Arabidopsis thaliana: one gene and its partner. The protein of the gene in region 1 interacts with the protein of each later gene in a pairwise test. Each region holds a gene or a part of one and is shown in the gene's direction. Other genes may lie near its edges. The genes, in order: AT4G15770 and CBF2.

Evidence for each region.
Region 2: the proteins of AT4G15770 (region 1) and CBF2 interact in a two-hybrid assay, tested with the Arabidopsis thaliana proteins (one large-scale study listed by BioGRID).

The regions. Positions count from the first base shown.
Region 1 is NC_003075.7:8,975,903-8,979,746, forward strand, and holds AT4G15770 (RNA binding protein), read left to right. Parts: upstream 1-1,992; 5' UTR 1,993-2,157; coding exon 2,158-2,721; 3' UTR 2,722-3,042; downstream 3,043-3,844. Other genes in the region: AT4G15765 (FAD/NAD(P)-binding oxidoreductase family protein), read right to left, coding at 1-131, 231-459, 713-911, 1,071-1,136, 1,239-1,309.
Region 2 is NC_003075.7:13,014,504-13,018,158, reverse strand, and holds CBF2 (C-repeat/DRE binding factor 2), read left to right. Parts: upstream 1-1,923; 5' UTR 1,924-2,072; coding exon 2,073-2,723; 3' UTR 2,724-2,909; downstream 2,910-3,655. UniProt on the Arabidopsis thaliana protein: Transcriptional activator that binds specifically to the DNA sequence 5'-[AG]CCGAC-3'. Binding to the C-repeat/DRE element mediates cold-inducible transcription. CBF/DREB1 factors play a key role in freezing tolerance and cold acclimation.

The DNA.
Region 1 (3,844 bases):
CCTTAAACGGTTGATATACAAAGAGTCCATATCACAATTCTTCACCATCTCTTTCCACTCTTCTGAGAATTCGCGGACTGATGCTAGTGCCAATCTTGCGATATCCTCTTGATTTTTTAAGAAGTTTGAGTCTATTTATAAAACAAATTATAAATACGTTAGTGCGTTATATGAAAACAATAGAAGTCTATGTATAGTATGAAATGTAGCATGACCGGGTTATTAATTACCTTGGGGACAATTTCGCAAAACAACAAACCAAAAGACGAGTTTGTGAGTTATAGGAAGTCGTCCGCTTACGACGTTGTCCATCTTGATTCTTATAAACTCTTGTCGGAATCCATGGTCGTCCGGGTAATTTGTGAACCCTCTGATGGCCCGCGAACCGAGGTCTTTAGTCGGGTTTAATCCTAGAAATCTAGAGACTACAGAATTTGACCCATCGCAGCCAATCAAAACCTAAATTAAAAGAAAAGTATATTATCAAAATATATAAGACCCATGCATTTCATGCTAAACATGTTGCTTTCAGTGAAAAACAAACAAAACACAAACCATTAAAACCGATCACGACCCATAAATGTCACTGTCGGCTAATATAAAGTATATACTAAAAAAATTCCACTACGGCATCACCTCAATAATTGATCAATAAATATATCTACTGTTGTTAAAACGTGCCTTTGCTTTGATAGCTTCTCCCGTTTTTAACGTGCACAATCGGAAACGATTTTGTTTCGTCGAGCTTAACCGACAAAATATGGCAACCAAGCCGGAGAGTGCCAAGAGGAAGAGCATGAGCCAAAGCTCGAACCAAGTCGTTCCTTAGTACACCTCTTACTTCTCCATAGGATGCTGGTCCAACCGATTCTCTTCGTTTAATACCTTTCTCGATCAAAACATCTCTTATCCTGTTTTAGTACCATACCGGAAATCATTATAACTAGATAAGGTTAGTTAAAATATAAATATTTATATACTTACTGATGAATTGGGAGAGACTTAAGACGAAGCTAGCTTATCGGCGACACCAAGTTGTTGAAGAGCAAGCCAGCCGTTAGTCTGAATACCAAAATGCTGCTCCTTCCGATCTTACAGACTCTGATCTCTCCAACACAACGCTCTTTATGCCCTTCCTTTATAATCATATTTGTATGTTTAGTTAGTCAATAGTTCATGTATATGTTTTCTAATTTAAATTACCTTATAATTGAGAAAATGAGGAGATTATAGTGAACCTGTGAAGAGCAAGGGAAGTTGCAAGACCAGCAATGCCTCCTCCCACGATTACTATGTCCAATTCTTCCATTCTTCTATATTTGTATTTCCTCCAAATTTTATGATCGTTATGTCCTGCAATGTCGTGGACTTATATGTGGGGGTTGAAGCCACATGGCAATATGGCATGTCGTGGTTGTACCTTGACCCGCGTATTTTTCGTTATCTATACATATTCATTCACAGCGATTTTTATTGGTATTTGTCGATTCATATATCAATTAAACTGTGTATCACACAGATCGTTATATGAAACCAATTCTGAAGAGAGAAAAAAAAGAAAAGAAAAATTTAAGCCTTCTTGTGTTAGAATTACTAATTTTAATAATTTATTTAATATTTTTACTGTATTAGTGATTAAATGTATAATTTACTTAATCTTAGAAGTATATATATATATTTAAAACAATTATTTTCTTACACGTTATACAATATTTGTAATTAATTGTATTTATTTATATTAGAAATATATATACCTTTTTCTAAAATAATATATTTTTGTTTTGTCAATTGCCCTTATAATATTAGTAATTCATTGTATGATTTCCTTATAATATTTTTACACATGAAAAAATCTCTAACTAAACATCTTTTCAATAAACTACATGAACTATCAAATTTGTTATAACTTTCAGTTATCCTCCAAAGTCCAAATATTCAAAGTGAATTATTCATGGGTTGGATTTAACAAAAATAATAATTTCGAGGTTGAAATGACAATAGATATTTTTAAAACAAAGGACCAAAGTCGAAATAACAAAACTCATCGGCCGCATTAGGTTTGGTCCTAAATCCCTAAAACCCTAAAAAAACACAATCCCTCTTAGAAACAGAGAGCTTCTCTTCTTTCTCCATTATTCATCACTTTCTTCCCCGAAGATGCGTCCTTTAGACGAGACCGAGACAACCGTCGTCTTCGAGAAGCTCTTCAAATTCGTCGGCAACAACCTCAAGAAGATCGTCGAGAACCCATCAGACGAAGGACCCGAATCTACACCCGGCAGCTACTGCTTCCGCCTCCAGAAAAACAGAGTCTACTACGTCAGCGAAGCCCTCGTGAAGCGAGCCACAAACATCTCCAGGAAAAACCTAGTCTCCTTCGGAACCTGCATCGGGAAATACACTCACGCCGGTAGTTTCCATCTGACGATTATGTCACTCAATATCTTGGCGGCGAATGCTAAACACAAGGTATGGCTTAAACCCACTTCGGAGATGTCGTTTCTTTATGGGAACCATGTCTTGAAAGGTGGATTAGGGAGGATTACTGATAGTATTGTTCCTGGAGATGGTGTTGTTGTGTTCTCGATGTCTGATGTTCCGTTAGGGTTTGGGATTGCTGCGAAGAGTACACAGGATTGTAGGAAATTGGATCCTAATGGTATTGTTGTGCTTCATCAGGCTGATATTGGAGAGTATTTGAGGGGTGAAGATGACCTTTGAAAGTTTAAAGGTTTTGTCTTTGTTGTGTCTTAGTTTGATTCTGCTTGTTGCTTTGAGTTTTAAAGTATGTAGCTGTTACAAGTTTCGTGGAACTTGGTTCTGGATCTATGAAAGTCTCGATTTTTATAAATCTGTTTTTGAGGTGTTTTGTGAGACTCTTGAGTATGTAAAAGCTAAAAAATTTACATTCATATGCGAATTTTCAAATCTGTAACCTGATGATCAAGATTTGTATTGGAGACAGGTTGAGTTTCCTGATATTGCTTTGATTTTTATACTTAAAAGCTTCAAATTCTTCATCAAGCTTGAAACTTTGGAAATTTACATACATATGCTAATTTTCAAATCTGTAACCCTAATGATTCAGATATGTGTTGGAGACAGATTGATTATGCTGATTTTTGAGACAGATTGATTATGCTGATTTTTGAGACAGATTGATTATGCTGATTTTTCTTTGGTTTTATAGTCCAAAAGCTTCAAATTGTTTTCAAGCTTCAAACTTTGGCCTTTGAGTATTAAGGGTATGTGACTGTCACAAATTTTGTGGAACATGGTATTGTATCTATGAAAGTCTCAATTGTTCTCAAACAAGAGTATCGAGAAGCTACAATTGTAAGCTGATGAATCAGTTTTCTGTATGGAAACAGATTGCTTGCTTTGATTTAAAACTTCAAAACTTATTACTGGGCATATAGGTTGTGTACTGCTGCCAAATAATCTGGAGAAGAGATGTTTAAACCAATTAAGTTCTGAAATCTTTCTGAAACAGATTGCATAACTTTTTGGGAAAGATATTGAGGGTGTTCTTTGAATAAATATGTTGTACACTGAAAATTTCCCACATTAAGAGTAGGGGATTGATATTCATCATCTTTTCAAACGTAATCTTGTAAAGTTCAACTTCAACCCAAAGTCTTGGCCTTTGTACGTTTGTTCCTCACTTGGGAATTGGGATGCAAAGCTGTGTTGCAAAATGTTTAGAAATAATATTTACTGTTATATAGTTTTTCTGGTATCATTAGTCACAAAGCCCGTCTAGCTCAGTTGGTAGAGCGCAAGGCTCTTAACCTTGTGGTCGTGGGTTCGAGCCCCACGGTGGGCGCTTTGTTTTTGTTTTTTT
Region 2 (3,655 bases), 4.0 Mb from region 1:
GTTTAAATTAGAGTATAAAACCGAAACAACCGATTCAGCAAAACCTCCAATAATAGACCGTACACCATAAACAGAAATATGGGTCCCACAAGAGAGCACTGTCCGTAGCTTCCCCTTCATTGGCCCTCTACGTGGCTCCTCTTGTAACCAATGTCATGTCATTTTCAAGTTTTACTTTCTTTTTTTATACTAATATCTTGTTTGTCGTTTTCTGTACCTTAAGGTCCTAAACCACTTTCTTTCGCGCACCATTCCTTGTCGTATTATTTCTCCGAATATGTCAATACCGTGAGACGACAATTGATAGCGAGAGGTAGCGAGAGAGAGAAACGTTCGTTGTGAAGATATTTTATTGCTGTTGTTGAGATTTGAGATATTTTATAGCTATTATTGGAATTTGAAAGTGATGTATAACTTGCTACTATATCGGTCTAATCCTTGGCTTAAACCAGTTTTTATTTAGTAATTTTATGCTCCTGTATTATTATTCGGTGGAGTATTTTTTTCTCAAAAAATATATGAGTCGAGTTTAAGAAATATATAAGCGAAAAAACAAAAAAAATATATATAAGCGGGGTTAATAGATCAACCACAATCAATTTAATTTGGACTTTAGAATTAATAAAATTGTTTACTTCGTAATTATTATTATTTTTGTTGTTCTGGCAAATCTGATAATCCAGATTATTATTAGACAAGTAGCGAAGGGACGGTGAACATTTATGATTTTAATTTGTATGTTGTAAGGAAAACAAAACAAATAAGTTCTGTAAAAAAGGTTTACCTTTCTACTTTGCCGGAAAACTCAACTCACGGTGGCGTCCGGCGAGTTTTCAGACCAAAAAGAAGGTTGGAAGAAATGAAGATGAAGAGGAGAGGACAAAAGATAGAGATGGTGGTTGAACAAAAGAAGAGTAAAGAGGACGAAGACGCTCTAAGTCTAAGCCAAGGGGGAGAAGAAGAGAAGAGGTATGAGGAGGAACCATACTTTTGTTAGAGAGATGCTGGAAATTGTGATCAACTACATGCAAAATGTCTTTTCGCCTAACCACTTACCATATTTGATATTTTCCTTTTGCCAAATTACACAAACCCTATCTTGTCTCTCACATATATATCCAATTAATACACCCCTGCCACTTGTTAATTCTCGACCATGTATGTATACTTATGTAAAGAATATCCAAAAGCTTTCTTTTTGTTCCTTCGATTTTAAGCAACTTGTGTTCTCATTTCTCAATATCTTAAAGAAATCCTGAGTAAAAAAGTTTATAGCCTCCGTGAATCTTAGGAAATTACTCTAGCATATTCAAATTTTTTGAAACAATATATAAATTTTTCTGAATAATTAAATTTACATATCTATGCTACGAAACTTGATTAATTAAATCAAATATATATATATATATATAATAATAATAATAATAATATAACATTTTTTTTAGGACACAAATATCTAATCTCACTATACTCTAGAAGTATTTGCAATGCACGATATGTGAATGGAGAAAAGACAGAAAGAGCATTTGAAAATATCTCGTTTCACGGATCATTATGTCTAATTATTTTACCATAGAAAAGCGACAATTATAAACAATTTGTTATTCGTGGAAAAATAATATTTAATAATGGTTGTCGTACCCTATAAACTACAGCCACACATTCATACAATAAGAAGTTAAAAAAATTCATACCCTAAAGGCATCAACCAGTGAAGGGTCAGAAACTTCCCAAGATGGGTCAAAGGACACATGTCAGATTCTCAGTGATTGACAGCCTTGATAATTACAAAACCGTGGGATCGCTTAGCTGTTTCTTATCCACGTGGCATTCACAGAGACAGAAACTCCGCGTTCGACCCCACAAATATCCAAATATCTTCCGGCCAATATAAACAGCAAGCTCTCACTCCAACATTTCTATAACTTCAAACACTTACCTGAATTAGAAAAGAAAGATAGATAGAGAAATAAATATTTTATCATACCATACAAAAAAAGACAGAGATCTTCTACTTACTCTACTCTCATAAACCTTATCCAGTTTCTTGAAACAGAGTACTCTTCTGATCAATGAACTCATTTTCTGCCTTTTCTGAAATGTTTGGCTCCGATTACGAGTCTCCGGTTTCCTCAGGCGGTGATTACAGTCCGAAGCTTGCCACGAGCTGCCCCAAGAAACCAGCGGGAAGGAAGAAGTTTCGTGAGACTCGTCACCCAATTTACAGAGGAGTTCGTCAAAGAAACTCCGGTAAGTGGGTGTGTGAGTTGAGAGAGCCAAACAAGAAAACGAGGATTTGGCTCGGGACTTTCCAAACCGCTGAGATGGCAGCTCGTGCTCACGACGTCGCCGCCATAGCTCTCCGTGGCAGATCTGCCTGTCTCAATTTCGCTGACTCGGCTTGGCGGCTACGAATCCCGGAATCAACCTGTGCCAAGGAAATCCAAAAGGCGGCGGCTGAAGCCGCGTTGAATTTTCAAGATGAGATGTGTCATATGACGACGGATGCTCATGGTCTTGACATGGAGGAGACCTTGGTGGAGGCTATTTATACGCCGGAACAGAGCCAAGATGCGTTTTATATGGATGAAGAGGCGATGTTGGGGATGTCTAGTTTGTTGGATAACATGGCCGAAGGGATGCTTTTACCGTCGCCGTCGGTTCAATGGAACTATAATTTTGATGTCGAGGGAGATGATGACGTGTCCTTATGGAGCTATTAAAATTCGATTTTTATTTCCATTTTTGGTATTATAGCTTTTTATACATTTGATCCTTTTTTAGAATGGATCTTCTTCTTTTTTTGGTTGTGAGAAACGAATGTAAATGGTAAAAGTTGTTGTCAAATGCAAATGTTTTTGAGTGCAGAATATATAATCTTTGGTCTCCCCATAAGCAACAAATCAAAATATAATACTATTACGTAATTCAGTGAATTGAAAACAAAAAGTTTGGGCTCACCTGTAAAATTAAAGTTAGATGATTCTGGCATTTCCGTGTCTAAGAAAAGTTCTAGGCACTTATGTAAATAGCAAAAGTTCCAGGTTGGTTGATAGCAACAGTTTCTGCCTTTCTGCTAATTCAGCAAATATCAAGACTCAAGGACGTTTGGTAAATATCCAAAGTTCCGTGAGTTTTTGTAAATATGATAAATTATAGGCACTATATAGATATCTAACGTTTCAAAAAATGTTTGACCCAAAAAAAAAAAAAAAGGGTTTCAAAAAATGTCTGCAAATAAAAAAAAAAGGATGCGGAGACACTTTTAATTTAGTCAAAGCTTTAGGCAGTAATGTAACTGAGAAACGATCCTATGTAAATAGCAAAAGATACAAAAAAAAAATAAAAAAAAAAAAATAGCAAAAGATACAAGATAGTGATAGTGTATAAGTAGTATCAAGAGATTTATATACAGTATTTATGGAAATAACAAATGTTTCGAGATTGTAAAGAGAAAATGATCCATATAGTAAAAATCTACGGGATATTTTATTGGTGAGTAGCAGTAAAATCCGAACACTTGTATATAGCAAGATACCTACCCGGCAAAGCACTTCACATAAGTTTCGGGTACTTCGTTGAATATCAAAAGATCTAAGGCAGTAAGGCTCTTTGGTAAATAGAAAGTTGGGTAACGCTTTGGTAAATAAAATTT